3 linked regions of the Mus musculus genome follow. The protein of the gene in region 1 interacts with the protein of each later gene in a pairwise test. Links are inferred from orthologs where the notes say so. Each region holds a gene or a part of one and is shown in the gene's direction. Other genes may lie near its edges.

The links.
Region 2: the proteins of Fhl3 (region 1) and Mrpl27 interact in binary tests that used the Homo sapiens proteins (3 or more experiments, as listed by UniProt). The two-hybrid records come from large-scale screens. The link is inferred for Mus musculus from reciprocal best matches to the Homo sapiens genes FHL3 and MRPL27.
Region 3: the proteins of Fhl3 (region 1) and Saxo1 interact in binary tests that used the Homo sapiens proteins (3 or more experiments, as listed by UniProt). The two-hybrid records come from large-scale screens. The link is inferred for Mus musculus from reciprocal best matches to the Homo sapiens genes FHL3 and SAXO1.

Annotation. Positions count from the first base shown.
Region 1 is NC_000070.6:124,706,062-124,709,422, forward strand, and holds the end of Fhl3 (four and a half LIM domains protein 3), read left to right. Parts: intron 1-1,192; coding exon 1,193-1,362; coding exon of another isoform or gene 1,363-1,388; intron 1,389-1,455; coding exon 1,456-1,669; intron 1,670-1,754; coding exon 1,755-1,909; 3' UTR 1,910-2,550; downstream 2,551-3,361. UniProt on the Homo sapiens protein: Recruited by SOX15 to FOXK1 promoters where it acts as a transcriptional coactivator of FOXK1.
Region 2 is NC_000077.6:94,652,181-94,657,008, forward strand, and holds the start of Mrpl27 (39S ribosomal protein L27, mitochondrial), read left to right. Parts: upstream 1-1,610; 5' UTR 1,611-1,621; coding exon 1,622-1,661; intron 1,662-4,306; coding exon 4,307-4,438; intron 4,439-4,802; coding exon 4,803-4,828.
Region 3 is NC_000070.6:86,555,086-86,559,877, reverse strand, and holds the start of Saxo1 (stabilizer of axonemal microtubules 1), read left to right. Parts: upstream 1-1,574; 5' UTR 1,575-1,862; coding exon 1,863-1,903; intron 1,904-4,792. UniProt on the Homo sapiens protein: May play a role in the regulation of cilium length. Stabilizes microtubules at low temperature.

The DNA of each region.
Region 1 (3,361 bases):
CGTCCCGGGCTTGGGAATTGCTGAGTCAGGTCTTTTCGTCTGCCTGTCTCATGCATGCATGGGGGGGGGGGGCGGGGTTGATGTGGGTAGAGACCTCCACACGCTGTATGTTCCTGGAACGTGTGTGGAACTGTTGTGCATGTGTGCTCTTGAGAGCTTAAGGCACCACAGGGATTGGCACACTCAGCTCTACATAGGAAAGCTTGGCAAGTACCAAAGGTGTATTGGACCAGTAGGCCTAGTGAACACATAAGGACTCAACAGATGCATAGCGGCTGGTGTATCGGACCAGTAGGCCTAGTGAACACATAAGGACTCAACAGATGCATAGCGGTTGGCATGCTTGCTACACATGGGCGTTAGCGTGTGTGTGTGTGTGTGTGTGTGTGTGTGTGTGTGTGTGTGTGTGTAGACCCACATGTTTGGTGTACTGAGATTCTCCGGCTTGCCGCATTGACATTTTGGGGGCAGAGATTAAACTATAGGCTTCAAATGTATGGTGACCTTAATGCATGTGGGGATTTAGCATGTGTAGAATGATAGACCTAGAATATGCAAAGGCTTAGTGTGTACTGAACATGTCATACCCAGGGCATTAGGCTTTGTGTAGGCGGTTGCCTGGTTAGTGGGATCTTGCGTGAGTGTTATACTGGTAGTTCTGGTACTTAATGGCTTATTTAACATGTACTGGAACAACACAGAGGCTTGGCATATGTTAAGATAGTATTGTCAGAGTTCAAGACCAGCCTGGTCTATAGAGTGAGTTCCAGGACAGCCAGAGCTATACAGAGAAACCCTGTCTCGGAAAAAAAAAAAAAAAAAATAGTAGTGTCAAAGACATGGAGTTTTAACATGTGTGCTTAGCATGTGCTGTACCATCTTGCAAGTTTGAGGGGAGAGGTTGGCGTATGTAACATACATGGTAGTAGTAAGTGTGTATGTATGTATTTTGGTTTGGTTTTTTGAGACAGGGAGCCCTGGCTGTCCTGGAGCTCACTCTGTAGACCAGGCTGGCCTCGAACTCAGAAATCCGCTTGCCTTTGCCTCCAGAGTGCTGGGATTAAAGGCATGCGCCACCACTGCCCGGCTCATGGTAGTAGTCTTGCTTGGTGTCCATGGCTACAACTCTACTTGGCAGAGTGGCCCTCTCGAGTTTGGGCCAGAGTCTAAGTGGGATTCCTGTTCCCCACAGGGTCCCGGAAGCTGGAGTATGGAGGCCAGACGTGGCATGAACACTGCTTTCTGTGCAGTGGCTGTGAGCAGCCGCTGGGCTCCCGCTCCTTCGTGCCTGACAAGGGTGCCCACTACTGCGTGCCTTGCTATGAGAACAAATTTGCTCCTCGGTGTGCCCGCTGCAGCAAGGTTGGGGCTGGGCCTGGGAATTCAGGGTAAGACCTGTTGTGGGTGGGAGTCCTCACCCCGCCCTGCCCCTGCTGATGGATGATGTCCCCACAGACGCTGACCCAGGGTGGAGTGACATATCGTGATCAGCCCTGGCACCGAGAGTGCCTGGTCTGCACTGGGTGCAAGACGCCCCTTGCAGGGCAGCAGTTCACATCTCGGGATGATGATCCTTACTGTGTGGCCTGCTTTGGAGAACTCTTTGCACCCAAGTGCAGCAGCTGCAAGCGCCCCATCACAGGTGGGAGCGGCGGCGGCGAGGGCGCAGGTAAGAGTTCGGATGTAACACGGGTGAGGTTAAGGGGCAGCAGTGGCCCCCAGACCTGCAGAGCTAACCTCCAGCCTTCCTCCAGGACTCGGTGGAGGCAAGTATGTGTCCTTCGAAGACCGACATTGGCACCACAGCTGCTTTTCCTGTGCCCGCTGCTCCACCTCCCTGGTGGGCCAAGGCTTTGTACCAGACGGAGATCAAGTTCTATGCCAGGGCTGCAGCCAAGCAGGCCCCTGAGTGGAGGATCCTGACTCTCCTCTTTCCCAAACCAAGAGTTCAAGACTTTGGCGCCTTTTCTGAACCACTTCTGGGGCCCAACCCCTCCCTAGAACGGGCCCTCCCCCAACCCCCGCTCCCCACTCATTGGGACTTCAGGATTCAGTCACCCAATTTTAACACACCCCAGTGGTACTCCCCGACCCAGGCCCCCAAATCTGGGCTGTTGTGGAACACCCATGACTTAAGCCTTTCTCCAAGTCTGGATTCCAGAAATGTTCCCCACATCAAGGCTCTGACACCCCAGCCCTCCAAACCTGAACTCTGAGGCCTAGGCCTCTTTAAGTCAAGACTTCTAGGGTAGATTTTTTTTTTTTTTTTTTTTTTTTTTTTTTTTTTTTTTAGTTTTTCTGCAGGTGCCTAAGAAGTCTTCAAAAATAGATTGTACACCCGGTTTGACCTCACCCCCATCCCACTGCTCTCTCTGAGCTGCAGCTGTATGTATAGCAGATTAGGGGCTCCCTGGTTAGAGGGTTGTAAGGTACAGGGTGCTGTCCAGCCTCTGAGTACCATGTTATTTCAGCTCCATGTTGCCCTGCAACAGGAAGCAGGAAGGTTGCTCGCCCTGTTTCCAGAGATTGCAATAAAGCAGTGTGAGGGGAGCACGGGCCCCGTGTATTTGTCGAGAGGATGAAGGAAGGTTGCGTGGCTGAGTCAGGCTTTTGAAACCTCCTAGTGGGCGGGCCGTGGGGTGGGGATTCTCCCCAGGAAGAGGATCCCCTCTGGCAGCCACGCGGGTCCCTCTTGAGCTTGGCCAACCTCCCCACTGCTGGCGGAGGACTTTTTCCTCTGTGAGCAAGGGAGGGATTGGGAGAGGTGCCAGACAGAGCCGAGAGGCAGTGGGTTTCTAGGTCTGGTACACATCTTCCCCCACCCCCACCAGCCCTGCCTCAACCCGACGTACAAGCACCGAGTTCTGATACCCAGTTGGGCCCAGACCCTCACCCCTTCCCCCCTCTTCCCAAGGATTAGTGGGGGCGGCTCAGGATCCGCTCGCGGCCGCACGTTTTTTTGCCAAAAAAGGCAAGGAAGCAGCTGCACGCGCCGGGAGAACATCTGGATCCGATTCCCAGCATGAATGGGTCATGGCCCCGCCTCTCGTGATTCACTGGCGGGGGCGGGAGTGAGCCGGAGGGCTGTCCCCTGAAGTGGGGCGATGGGGCGGAGCACTCCCCTGCTGGACGCCCTAGCCTGGCCGCTGGCTCTGCGGTTGAACTGAGGCGGCAGGTATGCGCCTGGGTGGCTGAGGCAGTCTCTGGAGGCGGAGACGCAGGGGTGGAGGGAGAAAGGGGGCCCGTCAAGAGGAAACAGTGAAAGTGTAGAACCTCCAGAAACCCTCCCTAACCTTGGGCCGGCCTTCTCAGAGGTGTAGACTCCTGGAGTCATCTGCCCAAGATCGTAATGACAATCACT
Region 2 (4,828 bases), on another chromosome or scaffold:
ACAACCGCCTGTCATCCCAGTTCCAGGAGATCCAATGCCCTCTTCTGGCCTCCACATCCATATAAAATAAAAAGAAATGAAAATTTAAAATAGACAAATAAAAGCAAGTAAATCAGATGGCTCGGTGAGCAAAAACATATGTCACCTAGTTGGATTTCAGTTCCTAGAACCTACACACAGTGGAAAGCATGCCTATGCACACACCCATGTACGCTCATGTCCACACACAGGAAAAAACTCCCCTTACAATTCACATAGTGTATAGTACTCAAAACTATCCTTTAGGTGTTGGAGTAGCAGCGGTAGAGTGCTTGCTTAGCACATAGAGAGCCCTACATGAACGTTAGGCCCCAGCCTTAGTACAGTTAACAGATAAAGAAATCATTCACTCAGACTGATGGGGCTCCGTATGTCTGTGCTGTGTCAGCATTACCCTCCTCTTACTCCCGAATGTCTCCATCATCACAAAGAGAAATCCTACAAACTGGGCATGCTGGCACACAACTGCAATCCCACCTATTGGGAGGCTACAGAGGGGGATATTTTGAGTTCAAGGCCAGCCTACTTGATACAGTGAGACTTCTCAAAAGCAAGGGTATTTCTATAACCATTTTTTTTTTTTTTTTTTTTCTGAGACAGGGTTTCTCTGTATAGATAGCCCTGGCTGTCCTGGAACTCACTTTGTAGACCAGACTGGCTGAGAACTCAGAAATCCGCCTGCCTCTGCCTCCCAAGTGCTGGGATTAAAGGCATGCGCCACCACCACCTGGCATTTATTTATTTATTTAAAAATTAAGAAAAAAAAAAAAAGCCCCCACACACAAAAAAACAAGTTCTTTCTCTCTCCCAGCATCTAAAAATAAAATAAGATCCATTGTCTCTATGGATTTACAGGTTCTGTATATTTCATAAAAGCACACCGTATGTGCCTTTGGTGACTGGTGTCTTTCGCAGTCATGCTTTCAGGGTCCTTCTGTGGCCATACTATGCACCAGTACTGCCTCATTTTTTATAGCTGAATAATATTCCACTGTGTGGCTATGTCACATTTTGTTTACGCATTTATTGCTTGATGGACGGTTAGCCTGCTCCCCTTTCTTGGCTGTTACGGATAATGTTGCTACAGACATTCACGTACAAATATTTTGAACGAGTATGTTTTCACAGTTCTCTTGTGCGTACACTTAAGTCTGCCTGGAACTGCTGGGTTACACGCAAGAATCATTCTTTCAACAATAATTAGTGACTGATAATCTTTGCAGTCTTCCTGGATCTCAATTTAACATAATACCAGTAACTTAGGTTTGTAAGGAATTAAATGAAATTGTGCATCTACAACCAGTCTAGCACAGAATCTAGCTGAGCCTCACCCTGGTCCCTCCCTAGGGACCTTCGTGTGGTTCCTGGAGTGGGACAAACGTCCGTGCTGGCCACACTCCTTGTCTCTGGGGCCCACGGTCCACTGCAGAAGTCGCCGGAGGTCCCGGCCATAAACCCCAAGAGATCTGGGCTCACCTGCTACTGCTCCCGCCACTCTTTGAATTGTCCGCAAGACCCGGAAGTAGATCTATCCCGGTAGCGGAAGCAGACTTCCCAGCCTGGAAGTGAACGTGAAGCAAATATGGCGGCGGCGGCGCTTACGCTGAGGACGCGGGCAGCAGGTAGCTCAGCACTGTGGCTATTGCGAGGCGAGACAGCAGGGAGGCTGGGAGATGGAAACTGGAGCCCATGGTGAACCTAGATACGGGGAAGAAGTGAGGGGCTCCGGACCTTTGGAGGGCGACTGTCTCCGGTCACGTGACACGTTGTGGGCGGTGCTTGCGGAGGGTGGGAGTGCAGAATGAAAGCCCGTTGGATAGTTACTCCAGAAGCTCTGTCCCCTCTGGGTTTATGTGGATCCCTCCGGATTTGAAGAAGACTAAGTTCAAAACATTTAATTGATATTCAAGACTTAGCTTTTTTCCTTTCCTCGCTTTTGAGGTAGGTTCCCACTGTGTAGTTTGCCGTCTTAGAGCTGGTATTTCAGATGTCTATGACCATGACCAACGCTTAGGTCTGGTGAGACACTGCTCAGAGTACCAGCATAAACATGGTTTCTAACGCCTTGTGAGTTCAGCCAGTAAACACGTGAGTAACTTAGTTGTAATCTCGAATAGTATTGTGAAGAGTCTTAGATTAGGGGACCAAGGAAGTCTCTTGAAGGGATAGCAATTTAGACCTAAAAGAGACAGACCCAACCAAACCTGTGTAGACAGAAGGCAAGAAAATGACTTGACTCGGTTTTACAGTTTTGAGGAGCCAATTAAGAGGAGGCAGACTGGGTGCAAATAAATAAATGAAAATGAAACCAAGTGGGACCAGGAATAGTAGTGCCTATAATCCCTGCACTTAGGAGCCTGGGGCAGGAAGATTTCATCAGATCCAAGGCCAGCCTGGGTCACAGACTCAAAAGCTATAAATAAATAAAATAACATAAAATAAAATAAAATAAAATAACCTACACAGAAAACCATCTGCAAGACTTGCTATAGGATAGATCATTTGGCCCAGATATTAGTGGTGTTGGTAGAGAAGCTGGAGGGTAGTGGGTGAATATGACATCTGTCTGTTCTGAAGATATAGATTCCACAAGTCTTACTGCTCTGTAAAATGAGGGAAGAGAGTCATCTGTAAAGTCTTGTTTTTCACAAGAGCAGAGACATATGAGTGAAACAATGTAGGCAAAAGCAAAACACCAATCACCAGTAAGTGAGTGGGTGAAGCCAGGAAGTGCATGCCTGTAACCTCGGTTATATGTGAAGTAAAGGCCTGAGGATTGCAAGTTCAAGGTCTTCATGGGCTACAGGAGAGGGGGGAGGGGATTCCATTCCATTGCTGGACATTGAAGATGTCTCCTAAGTTCTTTTTTTGTGATGTTTGTTTGTTTGGAGACACTGTATCACTATGAAGCCCTGGCTGTCCTAGAACTCAGTCTCTAGACCAAACTGGTCCTGTTGTCACAGAGATCTGCCTGCCTCTGCCTCCCAAGTGCTAGCATCAAAAGCTTGCCTGTGCCACCATGCCCAGCCTGCTCTCTGAGAGCTAGTCTTGTATCCCAGCAACTTTCTGTTCTTATGGGAATTTGAGAAACCTAGATAACCAGTGCTATGCCCCCAAACACCCATAAAGCAACTCTAAATGGGCTGATACTAGATCCTAAGATCCTATACTATGCCTAGAGACCTAAAACAGACAGCCTGGATTTTATTTTTGTGTATGAATGTTTTGCCTATGTGTATATATGCATACCACACGGTATACTTGGTACCAGCAGAGGTAAGAAAAGGCCATTGGATCCCCTGAAACAGGAGTTACAGATGACTGTGGACCACTACAAAAGTGCTAGAAACTGAACAGAGGACCTCTGCAAGAGCAGTCGCTGCTGCTAACCTCTGAGCCATCTCTCTCTGGCCCCATTAGCATGCATTTTAGATAATCTTCTTTTAAAAGCATTTTCATTTAATCTTTGAGAATTTTGTTCATGCATACAATGTATTTTGATCATCTCTATCCCCTTCAACGCCTCCCTCATAATTTCCCCCTTTAAAGAAAATGGTGTTGAGTCCTTTGGGATAATGGGTGGAGAGGCCCAGATTAATGCCAGTCTTGGTTGGACATCTGCTTATGGACTCTGGGAAAAAAAGACCTTTCTGTAATGGCCAGTTGCCTGCGGGAGCCACCCTCTGACGGACGGGCTGCCCTTCTGGTGCAAGTGTCTGATGTGTAGTGGGTGAGTGGATAGCTAAGACAGTGGCAAGTGTCTGATGTGCATGGGTGAGTGGATAGCTAAGGCAGTGGTAAGGGAGGCGGAATCAGAGGCAAGCCTTGCACATCTTGTACGCTGCCCTTCCCTTGGCCAGGAAACTGAATCTTCTAAGCAGGCAGCTGTCTGGTGTCCATTTCATCTGTTTCTGTGCTGTTTGTTTCTGCTCAGCTGGACTGGATGTGTCAGGAGCCAGAGCATAGACTGTTCTCTCCCCCCCCCCCCCCCCGTGATGCTCACTGCCTGCTCTCCCTAATACACAGACCACCACCACCACCACCCACCCGCCATACCATGGTTACCTCTGGGCCAATTCCAGGGATGAATTGCTCCCTGCCCAGGCATTCCCTGAACACCACACACTTAGCATCTCTGTTCCTTTCACACATCTCTCATTTTTCCTCATCTCCCTCGCTGCTTCTCAGCTTGGCAAATGGTCCACAGAGACAAGAAAGCGCACTGCATTCGGGAGCCTCTCTGAGCAGGGTTTCGCTTTCTCTGCAGTGACAGCCCTGCTGAGCCCCACAGCACCCACAGCACTCGCTGTCAGACATGCATCCAAGAAGACAGGTGGCAGCTCTAAGAACCTTGGTGGGAAATCACGAGGCAAACACTACGGCATCAAGAAAATGGAAGGTGAGGGCGTGCCTTCCTTACTGTTTTCAAGCCACAGCCCACAGTGCTGCCCTGCCCTTTCTCAGAAGAGCAGAAATGCTACTCAGGGGCCTCACTCTCCTGTCTCTCTGCAGTTCACTGTGGCACTCATCTCCACATGGGAGGAGCAGGGACCCCAGGGAGTTGCAGTTTCTTAGCCATGCAGTCAAAAAAGAGTCTGCTGGATTGGGGTCAGGTGCTGTTTATGTAGGGCCATCTTAGTGGTCTATCCAGGAGCAGGCTTGGGGTTTGATGGGGACCCTTGGGCTGCCATGACTTGTCAGCATTTTGCTGGGCTTCTGTGAACACTGGCACAGAGTCGGCTCACTGTGGACTTCTCTTTCAGGTCACTACGTTCACGCTGGCAACATC
Region 3 (4,792 bases), about 38 Mb from region 1:
TTCTCTGAGGTTTCCTCCCTCCCCATTTCACATTTCTATATTCCCTTTAACCAGAAAGGCAAGAAATAACTTTGCTGTACTTAAGACTGATCAGTAAGTGGTATTCCTGTATGGGCCCTATCAACCAGGTACCAGTGGAATTCCAGCAGCTGGCAGTGGTTTGCTGACTTCGGTTTTTAGTCTGCGATGGAAGAAAGAACTCAGAGCACACAGCAGCTCAGCACTGCTGCAATCCATGACTCTTCAGACACTCGAAGCTCACACTGATAACATCAATTCCAGCTCTCTGGTCCACATGGTAGAAAGAGGAAACCAACTTCTCCAGGTTGTCTTCTGATCTCCACATGAGTCTTGGCCCACATGGCTCTCTTTACCCAGAACCTGCGATAAGCAAATGTAAAATAAAATAAAATAAAATAAAATAAATAAAAGCAACAAAAAGAAACAGTAATGTTTAAGTCCAAACATTCTCCTATAGTAGTAGACTGTATGGTATGCTACCGCACTTCTTTTGCTTGCTTTTGAGAAAGGGAGAGCCATGTAGCCCAGAACTTGCCTCCTTGCCCCAGATGCTGGAATTCTAGACTTGTGCTGCCACACCCAGCTCGAGAGCAGAGGCCCTTGACTTTGTTTTATTGTCAGAGTAAGCTGCTATCTTGTGAAAACACAATTCCCAGAATAGTTGTTTTCACTGCTTTGAAATAGAGTGAAGTCTCACTTTGTAGCCCAGGCTGGCCTTGACCTTGCAGCAACCCTCCTGCCTCAGTCTGTGCCGGGATCACAGGCTGAAGCCATCATGTGCTCTGACTGGTGGTTATTTGATACAGGAGATTCCAGGGCAGAGGTCTGCAGTGGTTTTCAGGACCGGCTTAGATATTAGGGAAGAGAGGTCAGAGGCCACAATAGAAGCTCCATAGCTGCGCTCCTTGAAGTGTGGGCTCTGGGCCAGCATCAGTAGCATCATTAAAAACTTGTAAGAGACACGTGTTTTCTGGAACCCATATTTCAGAAACAACAAACTCAGGGTGGGGTCTGGCAATCTGATTTTTGTCAAGCCTTGAGGTTCTGATGCTGCTAACATTTGAGACGTCCCTGCTTCTAGGCGTCATTACCTGAGCAATAGAGGGCTGGACCCTCTCATGCTGCTTTGTTCTCAAAAGCAGAGGCCTGTGGTTGAAAGCAATTCCAAGATGCAGGCAGCCAGGTATAGATTTTCCAGGAAGATCTGGAGATGGAATTCAGGGTCAATATTCTGGAGGTCCGGGCATGCATTTCCTCCAGACGGACAATGTGTCCTAGGGATGGAAAGTGCCACCCGACAAGATACTTTTCATTGTCTTTGCATTATGTGACCGTGCTGTTGGTTAACTCTGGGACTCGGAGGCTTCCTAAAGCCCTCCAAGGTATCTTCCATCTTCCTTCCAAGTTCCAGTGGGAGAGTCCCTGTCTTGGGTCTGCCAGGTGAGATACTAGGTGAAGTCTGACCTCACAGGAGGCCCTTATGATGTCATTGCCACCTCAAGATGCCCTCCTCTGTGACTTTGAAGGTCATAGAGGACTCAGTCCTGGGCCCTGTGGCTTGCAGGGGCCAGGCTGTGCTGGCAGGTGGGTGCTTCCCACTGGCCGCAGTGGCAGCAGCTTACAGACGTGAGCCGGCCTGGCTTGCTGTCTGTGCTAAGTGCTGCCTGTTTGCCCAAGGCCAGCCTCAGGAAAGGAATAGACTACAGAATTTTGCAAAAGGGCCACCTAAGTTTCCTTCTGAGCAAAACAGCATCGGTCAAGGCACCGAAGAAGTGTGATCGTTGTCCCAGGCAGCTGGGATCCTCTAGGCGATTGCCTTAGTGGAAAGTCCGAGGTGAAGGATGGGGAAGAGGACTTGCATCTGCAACCTGTGCTCCTGCGGGTAAGGTAGTCCTCCCAAGGGCAATCTGGGGAGGGGAGCCTGATTTTCACACTCCCTAGGGTGCCAAGCCCCTTTCCTGGAACGAAGACAGGATGTGTCTTCTTCATCCCGCTGCTTCGCTAGGCAGCATCGCACTGGATTCGGGTTTTAAACTGCAACATTGTTGACTAATATTTGATGCACACATGTCGAATCAGCGCTGATCAGGTAGTGTGTGTGTGTGTGTGTGTGTGTGTGTGTGTGTGTGCGCGTGTGTGTTTTCTGCAGGGTAGAGATTCAGGCACTTTGAGAGTGGGCTGGGCCCAGCCTTGTCTACATGCTGTTAAGACATGATGGAAACCCTGGACAGGCTGGGGCCGGTCTTGTTTCTTCTGTTGCAATTGTTAGAACAATAGTTCTTTTGTGTGGGTGAGTTTCTCACTTACAGAAATTGGTACTTTGGGAGCCATAGTGCACGGGCACCAACTGTTGCAGTGTTGAAATAAATAGCTAATCCAGGGGCGAGTTCGCTGTAGTTTTTGGGCAGGATGCCTTTCTGCCCCTTGTCTTCAGGGCCATGATGGTGCAAAGCACAGTGAAGGCAGGGTTTTGGAGAGGAACGTTGGGCTGCGGTCTCTGAGATGGTCCTTCTGGCTGCTTTGCCAGGACAGCTAGGGAACTGCAGGGCTGTGCCAGCCAGGGGATAGCAGAAGGGGCAGTACATAAACTTGCTTCCCAGGCTTCTGGCTAAGACCAAGTGAAAGGAGTGGCCTCGGGGACTAGCCCTCTGGGGTTGTCACTAAATGTGGGATCTGGGCTAGGAACCGAACGTCTCCCCATTCAAATTTCCCTAGGAATACTCTCCTCACAGGACTATTACAAGTGAAGGGATAGGGTGTATGTCTATGCACATGGATTCTATCTATTCTGTTAATACCCTAAGATCTGCAAAGGATTTTACAGCTACATATGTTACATGAAATAACAAAATTATTGTATTTGGGAGAATAGGTTAAGAGGACACTCTGAAAACAGAAGACTTTGAATTCTCAGGAATCAGTGCTCATTAGAGTGGACTGGGAACTTTAAAATAGGTGTCATTGCTCCAGCTGTTCATGAGCAATCTCTAAGGACAGTCCCATCAGCAGACTCCAGATAGATACTGCCATTTCCCAGAATTCTGAGCTCTGCTACCTACAAGTGTGGCTCTTGTTTTCGAGGTTTGTCAGGTGGGACCAGCCAGTGTCCAGGGCTAATTTTTCATACTACCGAACATTCAGTTTGTTTTTTTTTTCTAAGACTTTGCTTCCTTGTGGGGCCTTTTGCATCACTCCTGGCTCCATCTCTGCTCTCAGAAGAGTGGGGTTGAAGTCTTTGAGTCCCATCTTTGCACAGTATGTAGTCTAGGAAGACGGGGACTCATCAGGGGTGAGGAACGTAGAGTCAGATGACACCTCCATTCCTATCTGATGTCCTCAGATTCTCTTTTTCCCCCACCCTGCAAAGTTGCTCCTTCCACTGGATATAAAGTCTTTCTGGCATGCCTTCCTTGCCTCCCCCTCCTGTGTCTACTTTACGGTTCTGTCACGTGCCTTGGGTCTGACTCTCATGTTGGTCAGTCTTCCCTCCTGCCTGCTTAGTCTATTTTAGTTTTTTTTTTTTTCCTGTGATTTTGATGGGGCATCTCAGAGTTCAAAGCAAACTTTTTGGTCTCCACTCATGGTTCCTTTGTCTTGCTTTTTTCCCCTTTTTGAAAATGCGTCTACCTTCTTCTGCCTCCTAACCTTTTAAGATCTTGCTCATGTTATAAGACTCCCGTCTGGCTCAGTCCTATAGACCCCACCTAGTACAGAGGTAGGACCCCACTTCCTATGGTCTTTTAGCTATGTGTATGCCAGCTTCATATCTAGTGATGGTGTGCTCTGGAACAGCCAAGCTCTGTTTTTGTATGCTTTGTGATACTGACCTGTTGAGTAGTCAGAACACACCTTTGTAGGATGGTGGTGGGATCTGTGGAGTCCGTTAGGGACATACAATCTGGAGTGGTGCTGTCTCCAGTGCTTGCCACATGATGCCATTTTACTTCAGTGAATTACAATTGAGGGCTTCCCCAACTTCCTCCAGCCACTTGAGGGCTGGAGAACTATTTTAGTAGCTAAGAGCATTGTCTGCTCTTCCAAAAGACCCCGGATCAGCCTGGCCTGGGACACACTGTGTATAACTGGGAACTTCTGTTTCTTCTGTTTCCATTTCCCAAGTCCTGGGATTAGAGGCCCATATTACTATTCCCAGCGTTTCTTTGGCTTTTGAGTTTTGTTATGTAGTCCAGGTTAGCCTTCAACTCATGATTCTCCTGCTTCAGCCCTGCTGCTGCCAGGATTGTAGGCATGTGTCACCATGGCTAGCTCCTTAAATATGATCTCACCTGTAGTACATGATACTCATCAGTGGGGGAAGGCCTCTATTTTTGGACATCAGTGGGAAGAGCAGCCCTTGGTCCTGTGGGAGTTTGATGCCCCAGTGTAGGGGAATGCCAGGACTGGAAAGCGGGAGTGAGTGGGTAGGTGGGGGAGCACCCTCATAGAGGCAGGGGAGGAGGGATGGGATGGGGGAGAGACCTGGAAAGGGGATAACATTTGAAATGTAAATAAAGAAAATATCCAATAAAAGAAAAAAAAATTGAAAAACAAAACAGTCTTTCTGCTGGGAACTAGCTGCTAAAGAGCAAGTTCTTAAGTTTGACCACCAGATGGCAGTGTTTTCTCAGTCAATCCTCATAGACGCGTCAGCTGGTCTAACAAATCCTTTGGGGTTCAGAAGTTTACTTGAATTTTATTTTTATTTTTTTATTTTTTTTAAAAATAGGTTTACTTTAAGTTTTCTAAAATGAGCAATTAGTTAGTGTTTCGG